Linked DNA regions of Xenopus tropicalis. The protein of the gene in region 3 binds, or shares a complex with, the protein of the main gene of each other region. Links are inferred from orthologs where the notes say so. Each region holds a gene or a part of one and is shown on either strand. Other genes may lie near its edges.

The links.
Region 1: the proteins of nudt21 (region 3) and cpsf6 are in contact, whole or in part, in a crystal structure (PDB 3P5T), measured with the Homo sapiens proteins. The link is inferred for Xenopus tropicalis from reciprocal best matches to the Homo sapiens genes NUDT21 and CPSF6. Residues at the interface, in NP_008937.1 of Homo sapiens: Pro151, Asn152, Glu154, Pro156, Tyr158, Tyr160, Pro162, Ala163, His164, Ile165, Thr166, Lys167; in NP_008938.2 of Homo sapiens: Trp90, Trp91, Thr92, Thr93, Asp94, Glu95, Lys113, Phe114, Glu116, Asn117, Arg118, Ala119, Asn120, Gly121, Gln122, Ser123.
Region 2: the proteins of nudt21 (region 3) and cpsf7 are in contact, whole or in part, in a crystal structure (PDB 3N9U), measured with the Homo sapiens proteins. The link is inferred for Xenopus tropicalis from reciprocal best matches to the Homo sapiens genes NUDT21 and CPSF7. Residues at the interface, in NP_008937.1 of Homo sapiens: Arg68, Asn152, Glu154, Pro156, Tyr158, Tyr160, Pro162, Ala163, His164, Ile165, Thr166, Lys167; in NP_001129512.1 of Homo sapiens: Trp91, Trp92, Thr93, Thr94, Asp95, Gln96, Glu112, Lys114, Phe115, Glu117, Asn118, Arg119, Ala120, Asn121, Gly122, Gln123, Ser124.

What each region holds. Positions count from the first base shown.
Region 1 is NC_030679.2:58,917,631-58,928,661, reverse strand, and holds the start of cpsf6 (cleavage and polyadenylation specificity factor subunit 6), read left to right. Parts: upstream 1-3,874; 5' UTR 3,875-3,992; coding exon 3,993-4,052; intron 4,053-6,621; coding exon 6,622-6,831; intron 6,832-7,329; coding exon 7,330-7,433; intron 7,434-8,980; coding exon 8,981-9,126; intron 9,127-11,031. UniProt on the Homo sapiens protein: Component of the cleavage factor Im (CFIm) complex that functions as an activator of the pre-mRNA 3'-end cleavage and polyadenylation processing required for the maturation of pre-mRNA into functional mRNAs.
Region 2 is NC_030680.2:22,864,384-22,875,416, forward strand, and holds the start of cpsf7 (cleavage and polyadenylation specificity factor subunit 7), read left to right. Parts: upstream 1-3,782; 5' UTR 3,783-3,936; coding exon 3,937-3,990; coding exon of another isoform or gene 3,991-4,023; intron 4,024-9,674; coding exon 9,675-9,893; intron 9,894-11,033. Other genes in the region: sdhaf2 (succinate dehydrogenase assembly factor 2, mitochondrial), read right to left, coding at 1,267-1,451, 3,378-3,413.
Region 3 is NC_030680.2:51,656,656-51,667,081, reverse strand, and holds the end of nudt21 (cleavage and polyadenylation specificity factor subunit 5), read left to right. Parts: intron 1-935; coding exon 936-1,136; intron 1,137-1,579; coding exon 1,580-1,643; intron 1,644-2,831; coding exon 2,832-2,921; intron 2,922-4,592; coding exon 4,593-4,668; intron 4,669-6,254; coding exon 6,255-6,369; intron 6,370-7,781; coding exon 7,782-7,803; 3' UTR 7,804-8,045; downstream 8,046-10,426. UniProt on the Homo sapiens protein: Component of the cleavage factor Im (CFIm) complex that functions as an activator of the pre-mRNA 3'-end cleavage and polyadenylation processing required for the maturation of pre-mRNA into functional mRNAs.

The DNA.
Region 1 (11,031 bases), on a different chromosome or scaffold from region 3:
AGAACTAAAAGCTAATTTATACTATCTGGTGAATGGCTTTATTTAGAGGGTAGGGTTGAGCTGGTTTAGAGGATTACAGTTGATCCTACTGTACATGAAACAGAAGAAGCTTCATTACAAAAGGGTCAGTTTCCCTTCACTCAGATGCTCACAGATCAAGCACTGGGTTGACAGGGGTCTAGAGCAGTGCTGTCCAACTTCTGTGGTACTGAGGGCCGGAATTTTTCTGGACTACGTGGTGGAGGGCCATAATGGAAGCCAGTTGACCACTCCCCTTTTTTAACCACACCCACTTGAAGCAACACCCATGTTATTGCATTACCATACCCATATTAATGATGGCAGTACAGCAAAAACCTGCCATACTCTGCCTGCCCTACCCTGCCTATGTGTGCCATACTCTGCCTGCCCTACCCTCCCTGTGTGTGCCATACTCTGCCTGCCCTAACCTACCTGTGTGTGCCATACTCTGTGTGCCATACTCTGCCTGCCCTATGGTGCCTGTGTGTCATATTGTGCCTGCCCTATGCTGCCTGTGTGTGCCATACTCTGCCTGTCCTATGCTGCCTGTGTGTGCCATACTCTGTCTGCCCTACCCTGCCTGTCCTATGCTGCCTGTGTGTATGTCACACACAGAGAGCATAAGGCAGGCAGAATATGGCACACACAGGCAGCATACAGTGACACTGCTCCTACAGTCTGCATAATAACTATATATTAAAAAACTTTTCCCATCTGACATTGCAGTACCATCTTAGTATATGTTCTTTTTATAGTGTGCAGGGTTTATTTGTGGGTTTTTACTGCTGTCTGAGGTGTGAAGAGGTGAACAATGTGGGTGATTACAGTCTGAGCCTGAGGTGTGAACAATGCAAAGGGTGAACAATGCAGGGATTAAAAGGTGTGAACAACACAGGGGATTACATTTTTAAACAATACAGAATCTGAGGTGAGAACCATGCAGGGGGCCAGTACTGATACTGATACCATTTAAAGCTTACACAAAGGTATGCTATCAGCCAGACAGGTGGGGGGGCCACACGGGCCACCAGTTGGACAGCACTGAGAGTATAACATATATGGTTATGTGTCCTTATATTCTATTTTTCTTTTTCATATTTTAAAAAAGGTAGGCGGACAAAGAGGGTCAAGGGTTATGCTGATAACATAATTTTAGAGGCCTTGCTATACTCTTGATTCTTTCTTATATATGATGACATTTATTTGCCTAACCTGCACTCGCCAACCTGCATTAGACTCCTCCTTGTTCTTAACCAACCTAAAACATTTTTTCAGGGAAACCAAACCAAAAAGCACCGCAGGCAGCACAACCAGAGCAAATAATACAACTTGTAACATAAGAACCAACCCTGCATATCAAAAATTAAGGAGCCAAGAATGTAAACGCCTCCCACAGTGATAAGGAACTAGCCCATCAAACCACTATTGCACCTATACTTTAAATATATAAATATATTTTTTATATGGAACATTAGACTGATGATATAATCCCATTATTTCATGACACAGTGACCCCATCATATCATAACACAGTAGCCCCAACAACCCATGACAGAGTGGCCCCTGTTTCATGATATAGTGGCCCTAGCAATATAATACATGGTGAACCTAGAATTTTATGACACCATAGCCCAGCAATACACGTGACAATGGCCTAGCATATATAGGACACTGTGGTTCTAACATCTCTAGTTGTGGCCCCAGCAATTAATAAAACTTTTATTCCAGAAACTTAAGACCAAAGTAGTCCAAACATTTCATGACACAAAGTGCCCAATATTTTATGACATTGTGTGGACTAATGACACAGAATGGTACAACATTTCATGAAACAGCGTGACTGCAGCCATTTAAGGCACAGTGACCCTAGCATATATATCGCAGTGACCCCAAGCATTTTCATGTAGCCCCAGAAATTTACAACACACTGTGGGGCCGATTCATTAAAACACGAGTTCAAATCCCGAATGGGAAAAATTCGGATTGGATACGATAATTTCTGAAGATCGAGAATTTTCCGCCGCCATTGTCGACTTTTTCGTATTGAACGATTGTAAACGGCGGGAAAACCTTTCCGACTTTAATCCTTCTGTGCATGATTTTGGAAGCCTCCCATAGGACTCAATGGCACTCTGCAGCTCCAACATGGCCCAAGGAAAGTCACGATACCGAAGCTTGAATGAATCCGAAACTTTCGTACTCGACGTGACCATACGAATTTGTTGCAAAAAAAATTGTTGCAAAAATAACGATCATTACGAAAAAACACATTCGGACACATCTGATTGGCTGTTGGTGGCTCCTTTCACTTTTTCTAATCTTGAATATTAATCCCACGGTTTTTAACTGTACAAGGGGACACTTGTACGGATAGTATAAGAATAGCAGCATTTTAAATTTAAACAAAGAAGATTCCCATAATGCCTCGCTCCTGCACCAAGACCAAGACCGGTGTACATATGCAGTGTGTAAGACTATGAGGAAGCTTTCTGCTGATTGGCTCAGATCACACATTCCTAAGGGGGGGAGGGAGTTCTTAGCATTCTTGAGGGAGGGGGGAGCAGGAGAGGGGAGAGAGGAGAGAGCTGCGTGTCTGTGGCACAGGAAATCAAAGAGACAAGAAATCCTGTATCTTTTTATAGAGGACTCAGTGCAGCGTTTCCGTGAGTGCTTATGGCTGTATTTACATAGACCTACCTGATAAAGCTTACTTAGTTTTTACCTTTTCTTCTCTTTTAATTTATTATTACAGAAACAAACAAATAAATGAATTAGTATTTTATTATTAGGATTGAATTTACTCATTGGGCAGAATATAGTTAGGGTTGCCTTCCATGTGGTTTTGAACAGTTTTTGAGAGGGCTGTCTAGTTCAAAAGGTCTTTCTAGAAATCCAATTGCATCTAAGTGATGCCATAACCTTGCTTTGGTGTCATAATCCCACTGACATAATTTTGCCCACTTCTGATGTCATCATGCCCATGTCCAACATCACTGCCCCACCCCCTTTGTTGCAGTTTAGCCTCTGACAAAGGTGGCAACCTTAGTAGGCATTGTCTGTATAGACACCATTTGCTGTATCTGTCCATTTGTTTTAAAGTTGGCAATGAAATGGATGAGCCCCCACCCCCCTGACCTCCAGCAATGGAAACAACTTGTTAACACTAGACTCCCACTTATTAAACTAACATACCTTGCCAGGGGTTGCCCTAGCAAATTCTAGAGAATATGGCGTCTATACAGACAATGCCTACTAAGGTTGCCACCTTTGTCAGAGGCTAAACCTCAACAAAGGGGGCGGGGCAGTGATGTTTGACATGGGCATGATGACATCAGAAGTGGGCACAATTATGTCAGTGGGATTATGACACCAAAGCAAGGTTATGGCATCACTTAGATGCAACTGGATTTCTAGAGAGACCTTTTGAACTAGACAATCCTCTCAAAAACTGTAAGAAGCTCAACCAGAAGCGAGTCCCACAGTATAACCCTGAGACTTTTACACCAAAGGTCTCCCCCAAATCACAGGCCTTATCCAAACTACTTAGGCCACACCGACTGTATCTAGCTGACCCTGCTACTGTATACTTTCTCCATGGTCATAGCACTAATTATTGTATATGCTATTGTGCTGGTTTTATGTTTCTGTTTGTAAAGAAAATAATAAAAACCTTTAAAAAATGTTTTTCATATATCTTCATAACACGGTGTTCTGACGAGAATATGAATTTGACTTGGGGCAAGTTTCTATTCACCTTCAGCCATATCTTTCTAATGCTGCTGCTCATTGTTCGCGTTCCAACGAGTTTGTACAATACAAATTATACTATGTGAAAAAAAACGCGCGCAACTAGCTGGTTCAGTATCCAGTAGAGGAAGTGACGCGCCCGTTCCCGCCTTCCCCCTCCCGACCCACTCCTCCCAGCTCGCACCGCCTCCGTGACTGCCTAGCGCTGCCGCTCCAGGCGGAAGATGGCGGACGGAGTGGATCATATCGATATCTACGCAGATGTGGGCGAGGAATTTAATCAGGTATCGCGAGTGGGAAATATGGGTGCAGCAAGTGGTTGTCATGCTGGTGCGAGTCGTCTGTGTGTGCTTGGGCCGCCTCCCGACTTCTCGCAGATAAAAGAAGCGCCTGTTTGTTTTGTTATTATTTGTAGGCCTATGTATGCTATCAAGTCTTTAAAGCATTTCTTTTACCCTGGAGATTCGCAAAATTTGTACAGAGGCGGGCAAGCCGAACCCGGCCACACAGCCTTCTGCACTTTCTTTGTGTAGGCCGCGTGTGCCGGGGCCTTGAGTTCCACGGAACTTCAGTCTAGTGCCATTGCCCAGAGCCCTGCTGGATTAGTTATGTGTGGGTTACGGGGGCTCTAGACTAAAACAGTAGTTGTTGGGATTTTCTTTTTCTTAGAGACTGTGGGAAGACGAGCTTTTACGGACTACAACAATTGTTCACCCCTTCAAATACCACTCTATTTTAAAAAATTGTTCTAAGCTACTAGGGTTGTTTGGAAAGACTAATGAAAAACCTTCACAACTGTTATCATAATTGCTTCCCCCCCCCCCCCCAAATAAATCTACTTATCCATTGGTCGAAATAGAGAATATAATAGGCTGTAACATACATGGGGCCCTGGAGCATCTCGCCGGCAGCTGCTAGGTACCACTGTCTTTATTTTGGGGGGTACAAGAAAATAGGTACCATACATAATGTAATAAAATGCATCTGCTGTCATTTTCCAAACTATTCTTTATAGAAAAATGTACACTTTTCTAATATCATAAAACGGTGTACTTTTCCTATCTGTCTTGAATTGAGAGAGACAGCACAGCAATCATTTACTTGTAAATGTAGAACTATACAGTTGCAGTTTCACATAATGGATAAAAAATTAAATGCCAATGGTTGAAGGGAAAAAAAACTGAAAATGTGGTTTGTTCAACCTTTAATAACAGGTTTATACTGGTATCTTTAATATCCTTCAGCTATAAATACACCATCTCTAGATTAGCAAATGAATGCAGGATGTCAATATCTGGTATAGGCAGTAGTGGCCCCATTGCTGATATACGTCAGACTTTCTCCATATTTAAATTAGAAGTGAATTTCAGCTAATTGACTATTTAAAGCACAAAAAAGTATTGGCAAATCCATTACTATTTATATTAGATCTAATGCTTTTATTTTTCATGGAAATTTACCCTAGTTATGTTCTATATTATTCATTAAAACACATTTTCTGTACCACAGGGATAAAATCAACATTTGTTTCTTTTTTAGAGCAGCAAGGTATTGAAAGATTCTTGTTATACAGGGGGGGGGGGCTGGTGGAGGAAATAATCAAATATCAATTTCTTAAATTAAAATGTGTTCCCCTTTTTTTTGGTTGAGGACTGAAACAATATTCAGATGCTTGTAAAATAAGCTGTCAGAAATAATGTAGCTGTTGTTTTCTTATCTTTGTAGACTTCCAAACCTCCTTGGATTTTTGCAATGTTGGGGTGTTAGTGCAGAGGCATATACAGAACTGTGTTACACATGGAACTGCCTCTTGTGACTGTCAAAGCATCAGAAAATATTTTAAATGCTGTAGAACAGGGGTCCCCAACCTTTTTTACCCGTGAGCCACATTCAAATGTAAAATGTCAGGGAGCAACACAAGCATAAAAAGGTTTCTGGGGGTGCCAAATATGGGCAGTAAATGGCTAATCTGGTAGCCTCTAAAGCTGGCCATACATGCACCGATAATATCGTACGAAACCTCGTTTTGTACGATATTCGGTGCGTGTATGGTAAGTCAGCGAGTCGACCGATATCGCAGGAGGCTGCTGATATTGGTCGACGCGCCGATCGGCCAGGTTAAAAGATTTTGATCGAGCGCCATAGAAGGCGCCTGAGCAAAATCTGCCTTCAGGGCTGAATCGGCAGCCTTATTTGCTGTTTCAGCCCTGAACGGTTAATGGCTGATTGAACAGCATTACATTATATAGTAATTACTTTTATACACTTTCATTTTTTGGTGTTACTGTCCCTTTAAAGTTCCGATGATAAGGCACCCAATCAAAATTTTCAGTCCTGCGCGATTGACAAGGCAACCAATATCTTAAGGCATTTACTGATATTGGTTGCTGTGTCTCCCACCATGCATGTGCCGATTATTATACAACAAAGTTTCCTTTACACTTTAGTTGTTGAGGGGGGATTTTATGTTTTTGTCCCCATTGCTATAGTCACAAATATCCAAAGGTGCAAATTATGGAGATCACTCGCATTGCCAATGTCCTTTTTTTCAGGCAAAAAACCAAATGTTCCATTAAGAATTGTTGTGTTTATCTGAACAACACAGCAAAACATCTTTGCTTGTAAGTGCATTCCTAGTCCATACATATTTATCTAAAACCAGTAATTGATTTGCCTTTGAAAGAATCATTAGGTGAACAATGTATTCTTTAAAAATTGACATGTATAATAAAGTGGAGAATGCATCAATATGTTAAAATTTGTAAATTAATAATAATAATTAAGGCCCTGATCCAGGCAACAGGCAGCTGCTTGAAGAGGTATGAACATTCATATTTTTTGTTTGTATTAAAGGAAGCAGAATATGGTGCACATGAGCAAATTGAACTCTATGAGGATGTCATCTCACCATCTGCAAACAATGGAGATGCTCCTGAGGACCGCGACTATATGGATAATCTAGCAACTTCTGTTGGAGATGATGTAGTGAAAGGATCTGTTCCTAATATTGTGTATACCTATACTGGTAAACGAATAGCACTCTACATTGGAAATCTAACATGGGTAAGTAAAGGCATAACAATAACATTTTTCTGCTCCTATTGTGTAGTTTATGTTGATTTCATGCTGCACAAGGTGTTTTGACCACTGCACAAGAAAACAACCACCACTAAAAATATGCTGTCTGCATTTATTTTATTCCTGTGAAAGGCATATATCTGCCTTTATCTACACTTCAACAGTGTGTCCTATATCTTTGTTGAATCTGATTGACAGTTTCATATAAACTACATTAATATATGAACTCAAGTGTTTGGGGCAAAATCTGCCTGCACACTTTAAAAAATTCCGTATTCTTTATAGAACATCATTATTTCTTATCTTGGAAAATGTGAGAAAAGTACAATTGTTAAATTTTATCTTGTGTGGTTTTTGACATTTCTGCATATACAGTAGCTGCATTTTTATGCATGATTTATTTCTATTCTATAAATGATTTTGCATAGAATGGTTTATTTCTGTAGGTGTAATGTGTCTCATCATTTTCCTTTCTTTGTGCAGTGGACAACTGATGAAGACTTGACAGATGCTGTTCATTCTTTGGGTGTTAATGATATTTTGGAAATAAAATTTTTTGAAAATCGGGCCAATGGCCAGTCAAAGGGGTAAGATTGGATGCTTTTCTGGATTTTCTGCTAATTGTTTTACTTAGGTTTAATGGTTTGGATGTTAAGTTTGACAAAGGTTCTGCCTTTAAGTAACAGCAGCCATATTACATTGTTAATAGCAGTGTCTTGAGTCAGGATAAGGTTTCAAGAAGGTTTATAGGGGGTGAGTAATACCAGAAGGGTTTTTTTTGGACACATTTTAATATACTTGTAAATAAATGCAAAGATCTAAATGTTCTTTTACCTGCGCTGGTAATTGCATTTAATGATAAGTTCTTAGACCGTCAAGGCAGGTTGTTTTATTCTCTGGCAGGCAGAGAGCATGGCACAGACAGGCAGCACAGGGCAGGCAGAGTATGGCACACAGTGAGTATAGGGCAGGCAGGGTAGGACAGGCAAAGTATGGCACACACAGGCAGTACTCTGCTTGCTCTATGTTCCCTGTATATGTGCTATAATTTGCCTGCCCTATGTTGCTTGTGTGTGCAATACACTGCCTGTGGGAGGTGAACCTGGCAGTGGTTTGTTCTGAGAGTTTGTAAGCATTTGGAAATAATCATTATATGGTCCCTAAGGTGTGTAATTATATGCTGGGGCATGTGGATATAAGAGCGTGTCTTAATTAGACATAATATAATTCTTTCAGATGAAGGGAAATATCCCTACAGTGAGCACCAACAAGTCTGGGTTTTTGCTGTGCTACCACCATTAATGTGGGTATGGTCTTAAAAGCTCTTGTGATTACATGGGTGTGGTGTAAAGTGGGTGCAGTTTAAAAAAAGGGTAGTGGTCAAAACTGGCTTCCATTATCAGCCCTCCACCATGTAGGCCAGAAAATTTTTGGTCCTCGGTACCACAGAAGTTGGACAGCACTGATATAGATACATGAAATCAATTTGCCGTGATGTTTCACTGTAGCTTTAATCCTTTGTTGGTGTGCAATATAATTGCTTGGGTATACAAATGTAATATCTCAGTTGCTTGGTATTTCACGTGCTAGATGTTTTACCCTGTTTTGCAAGCACATCTTCTGTGTTTTAAAACAGCAGGGTACATTGGTTGGAGATCATTTCCCTAAATTATCTTAACCCCTCTGCTGCTTTTGTTTACTTTGGCTTTCTCTTGTGGAATGTTAGTACAGGTATGAGACACAATATCCAGAATGCTTGGGACCTGGGGTTTTCCAAATAAGGGGTCTTTCCGTAGTTCGGTTCTCCTACCTAAAGTCCGCTAAAAACAATATTTAAACAGTAATTAAACCCAATAGCATTGTTTTGCCCCTAATAAGGATTCATTATATCTTAGTTGGAATCAAGTACAAGGTACTGTTTTATTATTACAGAGAAAGGAAATCATTTTTAAAAATGTGAACTATTTGATTAAAATGGGGTCTATGGGAGATGGGCTTTCAGTAATTCGGAACTTTCTGGATAATGGGTTTCCGGATAAGGGGTCCGATACCTGTAGTATGAAATTAAAGAACATGAATAAATTGGATATCTGTATATAAATATATTAAAAATACATCCTTTTTTGTTTTAAAGGTTTGCACTTATATGCGTTAGTTCTGAATCCTCATCAAAGAAGCTTATGGATCTTTTGCCAAAAAGAGAGATGCATGGCCAGAAGCCGATTGTTACACCTTGCAACAAGCAGTTCCTTAGTCAATTTGAAATGCAGTCAAGGAAAAGTAAGTATTATGTTAGTTTTTAAATGTATGATTATTTTTATATAGTGTGGCATATTCACAGCACTTTAAAGAAATTATACATCATTTACAGTCTGGAACTTTCCAGTCTTAAGTCTACATCATATTCATACGCACAGACCTGCCTATATGTTTTAGACCTGTGGGAGGAGACCTCCGTACCTGTAGGAAATCCACTCCAACACTGCATTATAGAAATATGATTTATGTTTTGCAGCGTAACATGAGAATTAAGTGTAGTATAATACTTAAGGTACAAACCCACAGGTGCCTGCTTTTTGATATGTGGTAGATTCTTAAGCTGGCCACACACGTGGCGATTTTCGATCTTTCGTGTGACCATCGTCCTCACGAAAGATCGTTCCAATCGGCCACTAACGTTCAGGGCTGAAACGGCAGATATGGAGGTAGAAACAATAGGATTTCTACCTCCTTCTGCCGATTCAGCTCTGAAGGCAGATTTTGCTCAGCCCGATCAAAATCTTTTAACCCACCCGATCGGCGAGTCGATCGATATCAGCAGCCTCCTGCTGTACGATATTATCAGTGCGTGTATGGCCAGCTTTATACATTTAACTGCACAGTGAGGCAATTGCTATTTTATTCCAATCTGCACTGTTTCTATGAGTGTACATCAATGCTGAGCACAGGAGAATTGAACACATTCAATTAATTTCTCTGTTCAGTGTTGATCTCCATTTATGTAGTGAAAACACTAGTGGAACACTGGAAAATCCAGTTTCTATTAAAAAAAAAATAAAAAATATATATATATACAGTGGTGTGAAAAACTATTTGCCCCCTTCCTGATTTCTTATTCTTTTGCATGTTTGTCACACTTAAATGTTTCTGCTCATCAAAAACCGTTAACTATTAGTCAAAGATAACATAATTGAACACAAAATGCAGTTTTTAAATGAAGGTTTACATTATTAAGGGAAAAAAAAAACTCCAAATCTACATGACCCTGTGTGAAAAAGTGATTGCCCCCCTTGTTAAAAAATAACTTAACTGTGGTTTATCACACCTGAGTTCAATTTCTGTAGTCACCCCCAGGCCTGATTACTGCCACACCTGTTTCAATCAAGAAATCACTTAAATAGGAGCTACCTGACACAGAGAAGTAGACCAAAAGCACCTCAAAAGCTAGACATCATGCCAAGATCCAAAGAAATTCAGGAACAAATGAGAACAAAAGTAATTGAGATCTATCAGTCTGGTAAAGGTTATAAAGCCCTTTCTAAAGCTTTGGGACTCCAGCGAACCACAGTGAGAGCCATTATCCACAAATGGCAAAAACATGGAACAGTGGTGAACCTTCCCAGGAGTGGCCGGCCGACCAAAATTACCCCAAGAGCGCAGAGACAACTCATCCGAGAGGCCACAAAAGACCCCAGGACAACATCTAAAGAACTGCAGGCCTCACTTGCCTCAATTAGACTCCACCATAAGAAAGAGACTGGGCAAAAACGGCCTGCATGGTAGATTTCCAAGGCGCAAACCACTTTTAAGCAAAAAGAACATTAAGGCTCGTCTCAATTTTGCTAAAAAACATCTCAATGATTGCCAAGACTTTTGGGAAAATACCTTGTGGACCGACGAGACAAAAGTTGAACTTTTTGGAAGGTGCGTGTCCCGTTACATCTGGCATAAAAGTAACACAGCATTTCAGAAAAAGAACATCATACCAACAGTAAAATATGGTAGTGGTAGTGTGATGGTCTGGGGTTGTTTTGCTGCTTCAGGACCTGGAAGGCTTGCTGTGATAGATGGAACCATGAATTCTACTGTCTACCAAAAAATCCTGAAGGAGAATGTCCGGCCATCTGTTCATCAACTCAAGCTGAAGCGATCTTGGGTGCTGCAGCAGGACAATGACCCAAAACA
Region 2 (11,033 bases), about 29 Mb from region 3:
TTCAGGGGTTGTTTACTTTAATAAGTAGGATCTGTTATTTCTTAAACTTAACAAAGAAAACCAGAAAACTGCAACTATTTCCGATCTCCTACTTTCTGGTTCTTGTGAGAATTTCAGTTGAAAAAGTTTGTCAGATAATCAGTGCGTTATGAGCTTCTACTTATCTATAAGCCAAAAAAGAAAGAGTGAAGAAGGGGACTCTTTATACAGAGCACTCTCTCTATTTAAACTAAAGGTGGCCATACACAAGTCGATTTCGGTCCTATGGTCCTATAGACTGATTCGGCAGCTTATCTGCCCGTGTATGGGCACCACTGACGGGCCTCCCCGCCCTAGGGCCAAACGATCAATTAGTCTGATATCCACCACCCCTAGGTGGGCATATCGGGAGAAGATCCACTCGCTTGGCAACCTCACCAAACAAGCAGTTCTTATAGTGTATGGCCACCTTAACTCTGAGAAAGCTGATTACGGAGTATGTAGTGGCACACTTCAAAAAATCTGCAGCACAGTTCCACTTTCCAGGCTTCCATCTTTATTTCTAAAATATTGGATTAACTGTTGTACTATGACAGGAGCACTCTGCTAAAAATGACAATTATCACTTAAGAAGTTAAAAGCAAATAATCTGAGATGAGCAGCAATGTATTGATTGTCACTACAAGTGCCATTATCCAAAAGGCCCTGTGTGCCACAGCACTGAAATTGCCTGCTATGGAGGACTATGTAGTCATTCCAGTTCTGGTTATGTTGGCACAGAAGCCAAATATTTCATTTAAGTTTGGCCTGACCCTAGATAGAGATCCCTGTTAATGTTAGTCTCCCTGTCTATTCTAGCTGTCAGTACAGGAGATGAGGCACTAACAAGGTTTCCATTTCTATATTAGAAGCACAAAATAGACTCTATCTAAACAAAAAAAAAACACCCTCTTTAGCCAGCGATTCTATTAACAATACAACAAAGCTGCCTAGATTATAGTTATGTGTCCTAGCTGGTCACCCATGGTATGTGAATGATCAATCCTGGAACCAGCTGGTCATGTGTTTAGTTATTAAGTCACACTCATTGATGTCCAAATCGACTTGATCCTACCAATCACTGATAGTGTGTGAATAGGAAAAATAAGGTAATAGGTTTTATCATGCCGGATCATTGTATTAATCACTAAACACGTGTTTGGGGGCAGCAACAGGAAAGAAGAAAAGGAAGCATGTCTAAATATCCAAACCATGTGTAGGCTGATCATATTGAGATACATATGATACCTGAGCAGTATGCAGTTTTCTAGCATGCCCCTCTTCCGGCTCTCATACACCAGTCTTGCTCTCTTGATTTCTGGAGTCTCATTAAGACGTTCCTTCCAAGGAGGCAGCTGGATTTCTGACTCGTATGTCCCTGTGGCATCTGAAACTTGTCCCCGACGCACAGCAAAGGAACTCAAGAGGTACCTCTGTGGAAATCAGGGGAATTTATTAGCTCTGAGCACATGAAACAGTACAGAGCACAACCCCAACATGATACCATTTTTGCTTATCTGGCACCATAGAATTGTACCATAGCAGGTACAACTGCACTTGGCTGGAATATTTCTGATGTCTTTACTGGTCAACTGCCTAGGATACTTTGATGATTTCCTTGAGATTTTTCTTTCTTCATCTTCTGGCTTGTTACAAAGTGGATACTAAACAGCACACACTCAGTATCCCATCAGAATAAAGGAAAATAATATGAAAGGCTAACGGTGTATCTAAATATAAGTATGTGCTATTTTAGCTTCTAGGTTGCAATATCCCTTAGGAAAAGGCCTAGTTGTTTAAAAGCTTGAAATGTAATTCAACTTACATAATAAAGGTGTCACAAAAACAACATTTATCTTGTTTCTTAGATGGCTCTTATGGTGCAGTCTTCAGATAACTACAATAATTTTAAGGGAGTTGTACCTTTCAAAAAATTTACGCAGTATGTTTATACTGATGTTGAATATTGGATTAAGGTTAAAGCGGGATCAAAAATGCCAATGGATAACCTGTATATTCTCTTTGGTCTTGGTCTGATATCCAGCTGAAGTTATCTGAGGAGTTTTCTCTCCTCTAGTATGGCCTTTTGCACTCAATTATAATTATCAGAATCTAGTTTTAAAGGGGGTAAAGCTGTCACTACCATTTGACCCTTATAAATGAGTGATACCTAATGGCACAATATGGCTCCTAGATTTAACACCAGACCTAAGGGAAATGTATCCTCGCCCTGTTTGGTTTTTCCTTGACTTTTTTCTAATAGAATGAAGTGACAGAGAAAAGGAATCTGGCCAATAAGACAAGCAGGCTTAGGCTAGATGACTCTGTTTGAAAGTGTTGCAAATTGTATCCTATATATATATATATATATATATATATATATATATATATATATATATATATATATAGTATAGGTAAATCTAAAGCAACTGGACTTGATAAGTAATCATTGAACTTGAGTCATGCGAAGTTTGCAGCAGAAGGAAACTTTGTGAAGCAATGTGTAGGCCTTTCCACCGCAGATTCTCTTTGTTGGTGTAATTAGGGCTCTGGCACACGGGGAGATTAGTCGCCCGCGACAAATCTTCCTTGTCACGGGCGACTAATCTCCCCGAGTTGCCATGACCCGCCATCCCACCGGCGAACATGTAAGTCGCCGGCGGGATGGCACACGCGGCAGCGCGATTTCCCGAAATCGCCGAAAAAGACTGAAATCGCACTGCCGCGTGTGCCATCCCGCCCGCGACTTAATCTCCCCGTGTGCCAGAGCCCTAAAGGCATTTTGGATAGATTAGTCTCCTCTGTAATCAGAGATTTATCGCAGGCGTCTAATCTCTGAGTGGGACTTTAGCCTATGGGCAGTGGTACAGGGGAGATGTGTCGCTGCGATAAATCTTCCCTAGCGACTAACGACTAATCACCCCAAAATGCCATCCCACCCACACGTAGGATGGCATACGTGTAGGAAATCGAACCTACTCTATATCTGGTCCATGGGTGGTAAAGGAATTACCAGCATACAACTTCCTTCACCCTTTGTTGTGACTGTTGGGAGAAAACTTGGAATCCAATAACAACAGACATACGTTCCTGCACTTATGCTGACTAAGAGACTATAGTGCCCCTTTGGGGGATAAACACTTACTTGGCCCTTTTGCTGTGCTACTGAATGCACTATTGCTGAGCTGCTGATAATAACATGGGAGTTCCTATATGTATAACCTTGGTAAAAGCTAGAGGGATCACATGACAGATGGAACCAATAAATCTGACAACTGTGCTGGAGAGGATGCTGGGTGCCGTAGTTTACAGACACATGTGCAAGACAAGGGTAACCCTCTGCCCCCACAGCTTCTCACCGCAGGGGCTCTTCTCAGCATCCCCGCCGCGAACATCCCAATTCCGTACACTTCCGGTGCCCGACCTTCTCTACCGGAACCTGGTCCCTGACGCGAACATCTTGCGGGTCACGGTGTAAGTCACAATTCCGTACACTTCCGGTGCCCGACCTTCTCTACCGGAACCTGGTCCCTGACGCGAACATCTTGCGGGTCACGGTGTAAGTCACAATTCCGTACACTTCCGGTGCCCGACCTTCTCTACCGGAACCTGGTCCCTGACGCGAACATCTTGCGGGTCACGGTGTAAGTCACAATTCCGTACACTTCCGGTGCCCGACCTTCTCTACCGGAAGTGGGTCCCTGACGCGCATCTGAGGCGGCGGAAGTTCCGGTTTGCGCGGGAGTCTGGGAGCAGAGCATATTCCGGAGAGCGGAGGACTATCAGTGGGGGAAGAACAGTGTGGCTGAACGGAACCGGAGCAACCAAAACGGACGCGGAGACAAAGTTGGGGCAGTGGGGAGGGGGGGAAGTGCTATCCGAACTGAGCATCCTCGCTCGGGGGGATCCGGGCCGGGGATGGCGGACGGGGCCGATCTGATTGATATTTACGCCGAGGAGGAGTTCATCCAGGTGGGGGAGACCCGGAGCGGCCCAAAGAGAAATGTACATATATTTATCTCTGTCGTGTCCGTATGTACGCACGTTGGCTGCTGCTTTGGCTACAGGGCTGGACAGATCCCCGCAATCAGCCGTGGGCCCTTCCCCCCAGTGCAGGGTTCTATGTATTTCTATTCCCAGCCTGGTATATAGTGTGTTATGCACCTCAGTATATATATATATATAAAGCCCATTGTCCATCCCTCCCCCTCTGGCTGTGATATATTGATATGCAGTCCCCTGGCTCCTATATATTATGTCTCTCTGTTTATCTCTCTTATCATTAAAATCAATCTGTTTCTCCAACCTTGTCTTGCCTGGCTTTAAATAGCTTTGTTTGTTTAAAGGGGAACTCCACCACAAGTCTATTCAATAATGAAACAAACTGTGATGCTAAGCAGCTTTCCCATTTACATTAATCAACCCTGTTCTATGTTTTTTTTTAAAGTTATCTGCTAATATTATTATAATTGAAAACAAGAGTCTTGTCTTTTTAAATGCTCTGCATTGCTGTTTGGACTCTTTATAATAAATATAGCAGGAGCCAGCTGATTAACAGACCGGGTGGAGAACTTTTCAGAAACAGGGGCAGACTGCAAAAATCTATATACACAACTATAAAGCCAACATTTATAATGACTTTATACTGAAAAGTTTATTTTTTTTAAGAATTATCTTTCTCTTTGTAAAAAATGGTGGAGTTCCCCTTTAAAGGAACAGTAACACCAAAAAATGAAAGTGTATAAAAGTAACTAAAATATAATGTGCTGCTGCCCTGCACTGGTAAAAGTTGTGTGTTTACTTCAGAAAGTCTACTATAATTTATATCAATAAGCTGCTGTGTAACCATGGAGGCAGCCATTCAAAGGAGAAAAGGCACAGGCACATAGCAGATAACAGATAAAACACTATTGTATTCTACGGAGCTTATCTGTTATCTGCTATGTAACCTGTGCCTTTTCTCCTTTTTTCCAGCTTGAATGGTTGCCCCCATGGCTACACAGCAGCTTATTATATAAATTATAGTAGTGTTACTGCAGCAAACACCCCAGTTTTACCAGTGCAGGGCAACAGTGCATTATATTTTTATTACTTTAAAGCTCTTTCATTTTTTGGTGTTACTGTTCCTTTAATATGTATTTAGACCCATGCCGTGCATGTAACCCTTGATTTATTTTTGTCTGAAAACCCTTTATTACAGCTAAGTGTATGGTATTAATAGTAACATATCAAAGCTGTTCCCTTAATTTAGAGCTATTTATATAGTACTCCCCAATGGGATTATACATATTACTGTGCATTGTCATGGCTGACTCGCGCCTTTTGCGCAGCTCTGTGCCTCTGGGTGAGGGATGGATACAGCTGCAAAGTTCTTTTCAGGTCTAGTAACTCATGGTAGCCAATCAGCATGCAGCAACTACTGCTTCACCGCTTGAAAGTGAATCTATGGTTGCTATGGGTTACTAGACCTGAACAAACTTTGCACCTGCAGTTATCTGATGTTTGCCTGTTTGATCACTAGGGGCTTCTCTGGGATCAGTCAAAAATAATGCTTTGTTTTGTCTTGTAGTGATTTGTTTGGAAGGCTTTAACAGCTAACAAAAACAATTTTTTGTTGGATCTACTTTGAGGGGATTCCTGTATTTTAGCTAAATGCAGCCTTAAAGTTATCTATCAGATATGGAATGAGCAGTGGTTCAGCTTTGGGCTTAAGACATTAATATTTAGTACCATGTCCAGACCCTCTGTCCCATACAGAATAAATACTCCATTAAATGGGTAGTGTACCTTTAACATAACATTTTTTTTTTTTATAGAATATCCAATTCTTATCAAGTTTTCGAATGGCCTTCAGTTTTATAGTTTTTTTAATTATTTGTCATCATCTTCTGTCCCTTTCAGCCTTTGAATTGGGTGTCACTGACCCCAGTAGCCAAAAAATATATATTTCAGATCATTGTTCAAACCACTGCCTGGTTGTTAAGGTAACTAGATAGCTGCTGAAATTCAAAACTGTAGAGCCAACCAACAAAAAGTTTAATTAAACAATCACTAAAAATAAGATATGAAGACTAATTGCTAATTTTCTTAGAATATCACCATCTACACTATGCTGAAAGTTAATTTTAAAAGTGTACTACCCCTATCATCTTGCAGTGTCTTATGAAAGCCACTTTGATTACTAAGGAAAATTAAACCTTAGCTACAAGATAGGTGCTGAAATTCCTAACTGAAGAGCTTCTGAATGAAAAGCTAAGAAATTAATAAAAAATATATAGTATCATATAATTGGTATTTTAACTTCATTTATAGATGAACAAGCCCATTCAAATTTCATGTATCTCTATGTAATTGTAACATGAGCCCCGTATTGGTGGATTGCAGTAAAGTCTCCAAAAAAAGCATGATGGGAACCCAATTAAAGTACAATAATTACTCCAGTGCTGTGGATCTATCTACATTACTGTATATTTTGGAAGCATTTCTCTTTGCAGCCAATATGGGAAACTGATACGCGCACATTCTGTAGTGATAATCCCTAGAGCATGTCAGTGCAGCATGGACTTGTTTTATTGCCAGAGAATAATATACTCAATACAATTAGCAGGAAATGATTTTTAGATTAAAATAAAGATGACCCTTCATGCACCGAAAAGTGCTGGAATTATTATTGCTCCTTTACATAGTCAGGGAAAAGGTTATGCACACATCCCTTGTAACAAAATATATAGGATTGTATATTGTCAGTCAGCACAGGAATAATGCAAACTGTATATGACCAGTAGAGGGCAATGTTAAAAACATCAATGAATGTGCCTGCCGAGGCAAGACATATGGCAGCTCCTATTTATGGTTCTGTGCAACAGGGATCTATTATACTGCTTAAACATACAGGCAGATTAACTGAAGCCTGATGAAGCTGACCCTAGTGAATATGACTTATGTGATTGTGATATGGCCTTAACTTGCTATGGGACAGAGGCTTATATGAATTATGCCCAGTTTCTCTACCGCTATGGATAACATACTAATGCTGTATAAACAGTGGATAATATAGGGAGTAATTCTCACTGTTGCTGAGGAGTCCCTTGATCATATAAAAGCGTGAAATGAAGGCTGAGTGGCTTTATTCAGACCACGGTTTCTAAGGATATCATTTACAGAATATTTATGGGTTTTGGGTGCTATAATCTGATATATACCAAGTACAATATGTAAATAGGGTGTGTAGACCTGTTGTGCATAAAATCCATATAAAACTAACAACAGTCTTTGTCCTGAATAGAGAGGGTCAATGCAGGTAGGTTGGATCTCCATTCCTGTAGTTATGGGATATTCGGCATTGCAATTTAGCAACAGTTAGAGGGCTGCAGATTTGGTATTGTGAAATTATACCACAATATATATCTCTTTATCTATCTTATCTAGCCCAGGTGCTGGTTAATTATAGTCTCAGCTGCCCCCCAGTTTCTTTTGGTTTATTTTGGGGTTGGTTTGGTGTTACTTGGGGGGATCTGCAATAAGCAGAGTGTTTTCAGGCATCTGTAAGTACAGGTTGGTACTGCTACTACATATCTTGCAGTTACTTATAGCAGCATTAAAATAGGGTTTGTTTGTATTGTACAACCCTGTGGAGTAGAAATTATAGTGCAGGCCTGTCTTCATAGGGCAGAATGGATTAGTTGTTGCTATTGACACTGCAAATTGACACCTATGTTAGCATGGTAGCCACCCAGGCATCGCAGAGGTAAGAATATTCTGGCAAATTTAGCTTGTGTATATAATATATCTGTATATGATGGAGCCATAAGTTGACATACCTGAATACATTGGTCGTTGTGTTTCATCGTTAGCAGAAATGTGGTTGTGGAAGGAAATATACTTTTTGCTGCTCCTGTAGAACAGGTAGGTCTGAGAAAAAAGCTCTAGTAAAATGTCTTGACTGTGCCAGAAATAAGGCACAAGCCTTCTCTGTTGATGTCCAGCTTCCACATGTGTCTCAGCTGGGCATTGCTATTGGGTTTGTATTTGGGTTACAGCTCCAACCCTGCATCTTGGGCTTAGTCCTGCACCATCCACTTGTTCATGATATCCTTATGGGGGAGGGCTATAAGTCCTGCTAATCAAAAAGGTATGTCCAGGGAGCATGTAAAGTGCCCCGTGGCAGCCCTAGGAGCAGGACTGGGTTGGTGGGGCCCACCGGGTGTTTTTCTGGTGTCTGGCTGTCTCAGTCCAACACTGAATAGATTTTCCCTGTAGAGATGCCTATATTAGAATGTTCTGTCTGGGTAAATGCACTTACATGAGAGTGATTCATCTTTTTTGTTTAAATGGATCCTGAGTAAATGTGTTGTATCACTCCCTATGTGCATGCACTGGGCCCCAGTATTATTATTATTGTTATTATTATTAGTTTGCTGTGTGTCTGCAGTAAATGAGTGGTTAGATAATGGGAGCTATTGTAACTCTAGAACTAACTAGCTTTTCCTAGCACCTAATCTGTATAACCCTCTGGCATGTTGGGAAGTCAGTTCCTGTAAGTGAGTGATTAGCTGTGTATTTGTAGGATAATAGGGAATATAGGGATTGCTTAAGGTGCCCATACACTCACAATATTCTCGTACAAACGAGGTTTCATACGCTATTCGGTGCATGTATGGTGGGCTGACTAGGCGACCGGTATCGCAAAAGCTTTGGATAATGGTCGTCTTGTCCATCGGTCAGGTCTGAAAATTTTTATGTTGCCCAAACATCACCTATACGTTAATGGTGAATCATCAGATATGCAGGTAGAAACAACAGGAATTCTACCCCTATCTGACCATTCAGCTCTTAATGTTAGTGGAGTGGACAAACAATTTTTTCTGCAAGAAAGATTGTTATTATAACTTGTACTTGTCCACCTTTACTCTCTTGCTGTTGCAGTTTTGGCTTGAAAAAGAAAAATAGTCTATTTTTATACGTAGGTTTTATATTCCTAAATGTGCAAAGCTCCAGTCAGACATGGATGTACCATAGAGCTTGCATATAACATGCACATGCATTCCCCTATAAGATAGATATACCGGTATATGTCTTTGATAAAGACCAACACTCTCATATTTAAATTAACAAAAGTTTCTTTATTTTACCACTTGTGTGCAGTGGTTCAGTCGTCATTAGGACCATTAATCTAGGATCCTTGTGGTATGTGAAATAAAGAAACTTATCTTTTAAATATGGTATAAGAGAGCTGTCTGATTGCATTTCTGGTTGACTGTACACCTTGAGGAATTGTTTGGAAACTAGTGCATACATGTGTGAATATATATATATATATATATATATATATATATATATATATATATATATATAATATAAAAAATCTTTCATTGAACTGGTCCTTATGCTGCAACTACAACACAATAACTAGATTCCATGAAGCATGCTGCCCTTTTCATTCTGCTTAACACCTGTTCCTTCTTTTCCCCTTTCAGCTTAAAATAAATAATACATTTGTTTTTATATATAAAATGCCATCAGCGCATTCTCTGAACTGTGTAATATATCCTGCAATCCCCTTATTAGTAGTAGCCAAAGGTGTGTTGCTATGGCTGTTCTGCTTTAATTTGCCTGTATAATTTCATTTTTAAGCTTGTGCTACACCTTTCTTATAGGAGTCGGAGTTTGCTGCTGAGCAGGTAGACCTGTATGATGATGTGTTGGCTGTGCCAGCGATTTCCTCCTCGCATGTTGAGAGCAACAGGAACAGCAGTGCCCTGGAACCAACATCTCCAGTACAGAGCACTTCTCCTATGTCAAACAACAAGACTCCTGAAGTCCTGTACCACAGTGGGCGCAACAGGGTGTCCATGTACATCGGAAACTTCTCGTGGGTAAGTGATGGGTCAGGGAGACTAACTGACACTCGGATAGAAGGCCCAACCACTAGCACAGTATTATATTCAGTCCCCAGTAGTTGCAGGGCTTCTGCTCTTATAATCTGTCACTTTATAATCAAGGAGTAAAGCATAATGGGGCACTATAGCCAAGAGACTAAAGTGCTATTAGAAAAATAGAACTGTTTATGGACTCTGATTCTTGTACTAAACCTTAAAGGTCATGGAAAGTATGCATGGAGGCAATGTTTACCATAAACCCATAAATGATATTCATTTTTGGTTGTATTAATATTTACTAAAATTAGAATTAAATACAGTTTGATATAATGAGATTGGTATAATCACAAAACAGGGTCACATCTAGAAAAACCAGAAAGCAGGGTTGAAATTATTGCAATTCAGTTAAATGCAATTGGTGCAGCTCTTCTATGTGCATTTATTGGATGTTTCCCTGAATTTTCAGTTCAGATGGTAGCCTTAATCCCATTAAAACACCAGTTTTTTTTTTTTGTTTGTTTTTACTGTAAAACTTTAACGCCTGTCTGTTTGCCAGTTCTAGCTGGAAAACATAATTGGCTTGTTAAGGTGGCCATACACAGTCCAATAAGGCCACCTAGGGTGGTAGATATCAGGCTAATTCGATCATTTGGAGAATCAAAACGGCAGGTATATGGGCTGTTGGACCGAGGACCGCATCAACGAGGCCCATCGAGGGTCACCATACTTGGGCAAATAAGCTGCCGAAACGGTCTGAAGGACCTGAATCGGCAACTGAAATCTGCCTGTGTATGGCCACCTTTACATAGTTACATAGGAGATCAGGTTAAAGAAAATAAAATGCATCCAAGTGAAGCTTGTCTAGCATTTAGTTTTTCCAGAGTAGAGGGAATCCAGATGGGAAAATGGAACAGCTCTTACATCATCTGGAAGGACCTACTGGTGAATAAGGCATCAGAGAGTGCATTATATGGTCCAATTACATATTTATGCATTTTCTAGATATTTTCCATATTTTCTAGATATATTCTGTACTCAATAGTTCCACCATCCCTTTTTTAAGTGATGGAGCTCAAAACTGCACTGCTTGTTCTAGATGAGGATGTTAAAAATGCCTTGTAAAGGGGAAACATTTCC
Region 3 (10,426 bases):
CTTGACTAAAATGACACACAAGGATTTTGAATTATTTCTTAGGGTGACAGGCCCCTTTTATCGCTAGAGTTTGCTTGTAGTTTATGTTCAGTGGTCAGGGAGGGGTTGAAACTGTTTTTCAAAACTGTATTTGCTGTTATTTCATTTATTTGGTGCCCAGAATTATGAAACAAATTGGTAATAAAAACAGTGGGGTTTTTGTTTGTTTTTTTTTTTTGTTTAACTAAACTTTTCAAGTTCAAGATAAAATGTATTGTATTACAATGCAAAATCCAATGAGCTATACAGAATGTTTAATAAATCTTAGATAAGTCTTCTTAAGGAAGAACCCCCGGGCTATAAAAGCCCCCTTAACTAGCACTCACCTCTCCCTTATCGTATTGTTTCTAACTTTAACAACTGTCCCTATCGCTAACCCCAAATTAAAACAGCAGAGTAGCGCAGCTAAGTACCTGACCAACATCTTCTTTGTAACTGAACACACTTCGGGTCTCTCTGCCGATACAAACCCTGCTTGCGCATGCGCAGTTTAAGCAGATTTCAGTGTGTTCAGTTGCAAAGAAGATGTCGGCCAGGTATGCAGCTGTGCTACTTTGCTGTTTTAGGTTGGGGTTAGCAAATGGACAGTTGTTAAAGTTAGAAACAATGTGATAAGGGAGAGGTGAGGGGGGTCAAGGCAGTGCTAGTTAAGGGGGCTTTTATAGCCCAGGGGGTAGAGTTCTCCTTTAATGTCTGCAATATTTGATATTTCATTTGAACTACTTGAACCAATAGTTTTTACCTGTAGCAAATATCTCACTCATACTAATAGGCACAGACCCATTTCCCTTGTTTAGCTGGCTTCATGCAGTGGCAGCGTAGAATACCCAGCAGTTGTTTTCATTTATGGAGTGTATAAATAATTTGTCTTCCACTAAAAATATATTTTTTTGTAGGTATCCCCTTACAAATTACACTTTTGGCACCAAAGAGCCTTTGTATGAAAAGGACAGTTCAGTGGCTGCAAGGTTCCAGCGCATGCGCGAGGAGTTTGATAAGATCGGGATGCGACGCACTGTAGAAGGGGTTCTTATTGTACATGAACACAGATTGCCTCATGTGCTCTTACTGCAACTGGGCACCACCTTCTTCAAACTGTGAGTTCATGAACTTTCCAGTATATTCTTTTTTATTCTTAGTAGACCTGTAGTAGCTGAGAAGGTTTGACTACACATGTCATACAATGCTGCTATCTAGCCATTTGGGGAGTTGTATGAATGTGTATAGATATATATCTACACACACACACGCGCACAAAAAATAAAGATTTTTTTTAAATAATGGTTTTCTGTGTTATTTACTTAAATGGATTCTATAGGAGATAGACTTTCCATAATTCTGACCTTCTTGGATATATGGTTTTCATATAATAGATCCCATATCTGGGTCATTTTTTATGGAAAATGCATTTTCTGACACGCTGACAGTATTGTTGGTGGTTTAATAGGATTTGGACAGTGAACAACCACTTAAAGGAGTTTGAGAAAGATTTCTACTATGGTCACTGTGTTGAATATGTTTATACTTTTTTTCCATAAAGGCCTGGAGGAGAACTCAATCCAGGAGAGGATGAGGTGGAAGGTTTGAAACGTTTAATGACAGAAGTAAGTGAATATTTGATCTTTTACCTTTGTGCTGTAAACTTGGTGATCTTGGATGTAAATTGGAACATTCACCCCACTCCAAACCACATTAATGAAGCTTTTAGGTTCTGCTCCCATTCCCTGGACCAGTTGGTAAAATGCAGATCAGGGACACGGGTGGTGGCCTCCAGGAGGTCTGGGCACTGGACTTGTCAAAAATGGCAGCAGCCAATGTGCATTGCATACGCATTTTGATTTATGAAGGGGAAGGGAGTGATTACCATTGAAATTTTTTTTTGTAGAGGTAGATACTCGTTGCTGAATGTATATGTATGTATGTATATGTAATAAAAAGTAAAAATGTCGGCACTCACAGAGTTCTCACGATAATACTCTCAGGCAATAAGTCATAGTAAGATGCAGTAAGGTGAGGTTTATAGATCCAACGTTTCGGTTCCTTACTAGAACCCCGAAACGTTGGATCAGTAAACCTCACCTTACTGTATCTTACTATGACTTATTGCCTGTGAGTATTATCGTGAGAACCCTCTGAGTGCCGACATTTTTACTTTTTATTCCATGTCTGCTGCTCTGGCACCCAGGTATCGCATTTAAATTTTGGTGTGCTCTTCATCTGGTATTTTGTATATGTATATTTGTAATCAGTTGGGACAAGCAGAAAACTTTTTTTTGGACCCTCTGTTTGATTAATTTGCAGTAAAAGCTTTGGATCTGCTCTAGTGTGTTTACCACACAAGTAGATAAAAAGACAAACATCTGTTCATTTGGTAACCTTGCCAAAGTAGCATTTTCAATATGAGTGGCTGACTTGTCTCATACCCCCTTCTCTTTTAAATTGTAAACTGTATTGAGCAGGGCCCTCTTTGTATGTAATTTGTATCTTCTGTGCGTGCTGGCGCTTTATAAATATGTGAAATGAGGAAGACACCACTCTGTGGTGTGGAAACGTTGATATAATAAAGAAAATGTTTTTCGAATTTTGATACAAAAAAACCTGAGTGCATCAGAATATTTTTTGGACTGTGGTAAAGGAGGGGGAGTACTGAGATTCCTCATCTGATTTGCACCTGGTGAAAAGCTTTGGACAAGGAGTGCATGCCTGTTCTTCAAAAGTTTATGTGACATGAGGAGTTACAAGGAGTCTTTCACACGGGTCTAAATATTAAAAACATTATTTTTGTTTTCTAGATACTTGGCCGTCAAGATGGAGTTCAGCAGGACTGGGTTATTGATGACTGTATTGGAAATTGGTGGAGGCCCAACTTTGAACCTCCTCAGGTATACAGTTTATACCTAATGTTAAAGCAAACATCAACCTTGCTGCTAATTGAGTTTCTATTTATTTTATCTTCAGTGTACAATAATAGTTGAGGATATAGTTTCACTGCACACACACAGTGATTACTTTTTGGTATAATAGTATGTATTTATGCAAGAAAGCACCACTACTTTGCTTGCAGGATAGTGTCAAACTTAATATTGTTAGCATTATCTAGGTTACTAGTTTCACACCCTGGATCAGTGTATTACATATATTTCACCACTGTGCCATGAAGCATCTTTCTGTGTGATGATAAATTGTTCACTTATTTAAAGGACATGTAAAGCCTACATTTGCCTACAATATATATCAGTTGGGCACATCTCCCTCACCCAAATGGCATAATTTGTATTGCATATATCCCCTCCGCTTGCCAGCACCATCACATTTTCCTAAAAGCAAATAGCAGCTTTCACCCAGTGGCCATTTTTCCTCTGATATATAATCAGTTACATTTAGAAAAAAAAATTGAAGCAGGCAGCTAGAGCGGAGTTTCTATGGGAACCAGCAAGGCCCTCTCTTTACTGGCTGCTAGACTGGGGGGCGTGTTTAGTAATCTTGGCTTAGAACAACTGAGCATGCCCACAAGCCAACAGCCAAAGCAAATTCCTGGGGGGCCGAGTGGGTTACAGGAGGAAAAGGAAATCTAAGTGATTAAGGGGATGTTGCAGCCTTACTATTAACCTCTGGACAACCAGTGTGGCAGGTATTGAAAGATTTCAAAGAGGCTGTTCACTGATTAAGTTTTTATGTGTGGGGTTTACATGTCCTTTAAGCTTATTTTGTTTTGGTTTTGTTTTAAGCTTATTTGCCCATTTTCTCCGGTCCTAGCCATTTTCACAATTTCATATACTGGTATTCTGTTGGTGAGCATTGATCTAAAGAAATAAACTGGCTTTAGGGGCAGCTATGCCTTGAACTTTTCTAACAGAAATTATGCTTAGGTAAGAGGTTAGACCTATGCTGCCAGAAGCTTATGGTATCTTTTTGTAGAGACTATGAGAACACACATTCAGCTTGTATTATTATAAGTAGGCAAATTCTTAGGGAAAATGAATATACTGGATCAGAATAAATGTGTATTGCAAATAAATGATTTAGTACAAAAATTTTTTAAATTAAATTAACCTTAATTGTAACTACTGATTCACATTTTTTGTTAAAGGGCAAATCACATAAAGTAAATAAAACATATAACAGTGTTTATATTAAACCTTCTGAACATTTTTACTGTTCTTGCAGAAGATGGCATAAAATAAGCAATTAAGCACAGCTGTAACTGCATATATTTAGAAATAAAGGGGTTTTTACAAAAGCAGTAATTTACAATGTATAATGTGTTCTTTTTGTAAAACAAACATATTGGCCAGTTCTTATGTTTAGACTTCCAGACTTTTTACAAGAACTCCATACAGTTTATTGTATTGTTTGTTTGTGAAAAAGAGAAACATTTAGGTGGTATGTTGATGCTTCATGGGGAGCTGTCAAAAAAGCAGACGTGCAAATTGGCTGTTTTTATTATCTTTCCCCCCTCAGCCTCTCCCTAACATGTCTTTAACTACTGAAACAACCCAGTCATGGTATGTATGTATGTATGTATGTTGATAAATACCTATTTATCTTTGCAGTATCCATACATTCCTGCTCATATTACAAAACCTAAAGAACACAAGAAATTGTTCCTAGTTCAGTTGCAGGAGAAAGGTAAGATGCTGGCTTATCTGATTTTTCTTAAAGGGATACTAATACATAAAAACTGAAAACAGAACTTTCATCTGTTATGCTATGAAGAATGCAGGCTTACACAAGCAGAATTTTGGTAAAAAGTCCTTCTTGGATTGAGCAGTATACTAGTTAAATTAAGCTCAGGGTAGGGGATTAGGAAAAAAATTAGGAGCAGACAGCTAGAGCAGAGTTTTTATAGGAACCAGCAATGCCATCTCTTCACTGGCTGTTGGACAGAAGAGTGTGTTTAATCTGAGTTGAGTTGAGAAGAATTGAGCATGCTCATTACCCAACAGCCAGAGTCTGTTCCTTAAAAAGGGGACCCGAGTGGGTTAGAGGAGGAGAAGGAATCCTAAGTGATTAAGGGGATGCTGTAGCATTACAATTAAGCTTTTAACAACCAGGTATCTATAAAGATTTTAAAAAGGCTGTTCGCTGGTTAAATTTTTTTGCGGAGGTTTACATGTCCTTTAAGCACGTTTAGCAAGCTGATGATCTCGACCAGTATTCATGTACTATGGATATCGGCCAGTTTGTGGATCAACCTGTTTAAAAAAACCTGTATCATGGTGTTTAGTGAATTGGAAAATGAGGCTGTTAAGAGGAGCCATGGCTTGTTGTCTTCAGTACCTGCTGTTTCAATTGTTACTGCTACCTCTCTCTTCTTATGTTCAGTCAGGCTGATCAGTTGGATACTGTGCAAAGTTGTATGAGTTACTACTCACATGCAGATTTGCCCTGTGTTGGTTTAGGGTCCCAAATATTTAATTATCTATTTAGCTCTTGAACTGCATCCAACTTATGTGTTTTGACAACTAATTTATGTTCAAAAAAGATGAATGTTTTTATCTCATGGTTTAAAAATTGAATATGGGTTCAGATTTTATTGGTATCTGTCCGAATCTATACTGTAAAATTTTGTGTTTTGTATTTGTTGTACCCCTAGTTTATACTAGAGGACTGAAGGCTTAACAAGTCAAGGTGTGTTTAATGCACCAGACCTCAGGCATGCATTAAATTGCAAGTAGATAGCCATAATTATCTGATGATCTGAATGACTTGTTTGTGTCTTACATTTTTCTAAATTTAGGCCATGTCACACCAGGAGTTTTGCCCACCAGCATATATATATGTCGGGTGAGAAAACACAGATCTGTTTAACCCTGCCCTGACATCACTGTGCACTGACAGGCACAGAATTGGCCAGTTAGGGTACAGACAGGTCGGAACATGGAAAGTATGCATTTCTGCGCCAGAATTTAGCCTTTCAGTGCACTTATAGGTGCAGAAGGAAGGTCATCATTTTCTCCCCCAGCACAGATATGCCAGTAGAGAAAACACCTGGTGTGACATGGGCTTTACTCTTAAGGAGTTCCCAGCTAATAAGTAAACTTGATAAAATTGACTTTTGGCAGATTATATAATACAATTCTCCAATTAAACCATATTTAACAGGTCACCTGCTTTACAACAAATAGCTAATCGGTTGCTTTATTTTTCTAGACAATTACAATTTAAAAGGAAAATTATTTTAAATGATTTTTCTGGTTTCATTTATCCTTTAGCACTATTTGCTGTGCCCAAAAATTACAAACTTGTTGCAGCCCCTTTATTTGAATTGTACGACAATGCTCCTGGATATGGCCCCATCATTTCAAGTCTCCCACAGCTTCTTAGCAGGTAGGTTGCATTCTGAAATAATACATTTTGAAATATTATTGTCTTGTTTCAAAGTGAGAGTGACTGTGACAAGCCTACATTGTCAATAAGTGCAATATATTTTGTAGTTCTCTCTAAAAATACATTTTAAAAATAAAGTAAATATTTAAACTGTGCCATGACACTGATTACCGATGTATTCAATGGGCTTCAAAGTCACAGTCTGCCTGTCTCTGATAACTAATGGAAGGGAGTCTAGTTTTAATACATAACATGGTTAATTTTATTATTGCTTCTGAATTCGGTTCATACTTTTACATACAGCCATCTGTAAATGTTTTAAATATTTAGCATTTACTGCTGTACATCTTTTTTTCTTAAAGGCTTTGTATATCAGTTTAGTGCTGTGCATACTGTATATGCTATAAAAGAAATTAATATCTGAATATCTGCTTAAAGGGTTGGTTCACCTTTAAGTTTACCTTTAATATGTTATAGAATGGCCAGTTCTAAACAACTTTTCATTTGGTCTTCATTATTTTTTATTTATAGTTTTTATTTATAGTTTTTGAATTATTTGCCTTCTTGTTTTAAAAAAACGGTTTATTGTTATTGTTACTTTTATTACTTATCTTTCTATTCAGGCTCTTCTCCTATTTATATTCCAGTCTCTTATTTAAACCACTCCAAACTGCAAAACCAATGAACAGAAATGTAAATAAATAATAAAAAAGGATAGACCAATTATCTCAGAATATCACTCTTTCTACATCATACTAAGTTAACTCAAAGGTGAACAACTACTTTAAGGGCTCTGGCACACGGGGAGATTAGTCACCCGCAACAAATCTCCCTGTTCGCGGGCGACTAATCTCCCCGAAATGCCATCCCACCAGCAAAAATGTAAATCGCCGGTGGGATGGCATACGCGGCGGCGTGATTTCCGTGAAATCGCGGAAGTTGCCTTGAGAGGACCAGGAACATCAAAAGTGATTGTTTTGTTGCAATTAAAGTTTGTATCTGTTGATTAAGCACCAACACCTTCTTGAGTTTCTTTTCTTTAGTTCTTTAGGGAGATGTGAATGGCATTTGACATTAGCATTCAGCTTGAATGGCTGCTTGGCAGTGTATTTATGTTTTTACTATTACTGGGTCACAGCAAATTGTATTCAAATGTATATATACTTTTTTTTTTTTGTTACTGGTGTTTTAAAAGATAACCATCAATTGGGGTTTGTAAAATGTACACAAAACAGCAAATGTCTTTAACCTGTAATGGTGACTCCAAGTTACCTATATATGTGTAACTGAATATTTGCTCATTTTATGCTCTGCTAAACCATGGATTTACCATCATACATGTAGATCCTGTGTTCAGCTGCTGCTGAATTATAGATATTTGTAATGCGATAATACATTTTTTTTCTCTCTAGGTTTAATTTTATTTACAACTGAGCATTATCTAGAGGTCATCAAAGAAATTTGTGGATGAAGCGGTCTCTGTGAGCACAGCTTTATAGTTTGTAAAAATGAAACGTTTCAGCAGGTTTTTTTCTTTAAAATTCACTTGTTGCCGTCAGAAAAACAAGACTCTGCAGTGAAACACAGCAGCAAGACATTAGTGTTTTAATTTTTTTTTTTATTTTCATGATGTCACTCACTTTTCTTACATCATTAAAACTGGATTATTTCATCTATATCTGTCTCACTGGATATTATCTCACATTATGTCCCACTGCTTTGGATGGTTATAGTTTTGGAGTTCAGCACTTCAGTGTACTGAGTAAGCAAGCAAGAAATGTGATGATATAACTGCATAATGGATGAAACCAAGGTTTTTGTCTGGAGCTGCAGGATCTGATACCCCTTCATCATGCCCAATAAAAATAGGAAATAAATGTGTCCTTCTGTACTGAATGTCCTGGTCTGCCAAATACAAAATCAGTGTCATTTCACACTACCTCTGCTTAAGTAGTGGTATATGTGTCCTAGTATGAGATAACTGTGACTGGGTGTTTCATTTATTCTGAAGCAGTAGTAGAATTTTTTGTCTATCCAGCCAAAAATAAAAACTTTGGGGACATTAACAAAAAATAGGGACAATTTTGCACCACTACAATAACATTTTTGAAACCGATCAGATATTTAATCAGAATATATCAGACCATAATAGATCAGATATAATAAGTAACTAATTGCTGATTTGTTGCTAAAGGATTTTTTTCACTAATGATAGTGAATTTCCCCCATAGTGTGCTTGATGTTAACCAACTTGTACAGTCTCTTCCCTCCCCCCATGCCTTGCTCATGTCTGCCTGTTGCACCTGTCTGCTGTATTGTAGGTGCACCACTGATCCTGGGACTACAGTATGTGGCCCACAAATTAGGAACAAGTGTGGTATTGGTTGCATTACAGTGAAATTTGTGGGGTGGGTACCCCTGGCCAACCTAGCAAACAATTAAATGCTTATTTAAAATGTCCCAGGCAGTGTGCAATTTCCCCCCAAAAAAGGCCACAATCAGGGCATTGTGCAAATAGCACAATTTTGGAGTACAGAGACCTGTGAAATGTCCCTTCCATAGAGCACTGCCTGCATTAGGCAGCACTCAATTCATATGGCTGGGAAACACATAAGCATCTCCTTTACCCACCCAACTCATATGTCATTCAGAGAACAATTTTTTACAAAAAAAAAAAGCCTTTTGGGTCATGCAAATTTTATAATACACCACCCCCTTATTTGAATTGCTATGTATATTCAATCTAGTTCTTTTTATTAAGACAAAACAAAGTTGTCAAGGATATTAAATTATTTATACTTCCCCTTTAAAAAAAACACATGGCGGTTTTATGTAACTTAAAGAGATGGTTCACCTTGCAACTTTGCTATTGGTTCTCATTATATTTTATAGTTTTTTTAAATGATTCGCCTCCCTCTTCTGACTCTTAACTTTTAAATGGGAGTCACTGACCCTGGCAGCCAAAAACTGTTGCTCTGTGAGGCTACAATTTTATTTCTACTGTTACTTTTTATTACTTACCTATCTATGCAGGTCCTCTCCTATTTACCTTATTCCCATCTCCTATTCAAACTGTTGCCTTGTTGCTGGGATAAATAAGACTCTAGTAGCTGTTAAAATACCAAATTGGAGAGCTTCTAAACAAAAAGCTAAATAACTGAAAAAACATAAAATAAAGACCAATGGCAAATTGTCTTAGAATAGCAATGTCTACATCATTCTAAATGTACTGTATATACTCGAGTATAAGTAACCCTCGGCTTATACTCGTGTATATGTGTCCGTGCACCGTGCATACCTGCCGTCTGGCTCATTGAGCATGGTCAACGACCAACCCTGCCCCCATGGACGTGCGATCTGAGCACGCACATGCATGCACTTACTCTTGTCCCTCCTCAGGGGTAGGTGCATGCAACAAACGCGTTTGACGAGCCAGACGCCAGGTAGACACGGACACATATGGACATGTGGAGGGCAGGAGGGAAGTATGCACGCAAGTGGAGGGAGGCAGGGAGGGAGGAATGCACACAAGTTGAAGGAGGGAGGAAGGAATGCACGCAAGGGGAGGGAGGAATGCACGCAAGGGGAGGGAGGGAGGTATGAACGGGACACAGGTGGAGGGAGGGAGGTATGAACGGGACACAGGTGGAGGGAGGGAGGTATGAACAGACACAGGTGGAGGGAGGGAGGGTGGTTGTGCGCAACGAGCCAGATTAAGTAATTGGTACAATAACTTGTTATTTACAAAAATTTAATTTGTACTAAGTCCAGCATCAAGAATTATTTTTCCCTTGTAACTACTATTGTAGTACTGTGGTGGGACTTGTACACTGGGGTCTAAAAGTACTTGATAATTAGTATGGCAGCTTCCTTAGCCTTCCCAAATTTGCTTTTGTCTGCTGCTGTAGCATTTTTCTTTCCCTAAAGTTATCTATTTATTTATCTGTTTTTTATTTGATTATTGAAACTTAGCAGTAGCGGTTGCATTTCCCACCCTAGGCTTATACTCGAGTCAATAAGTTTTTCCAGTTTTCTTTGGTAAAATTAGGTACCTCGG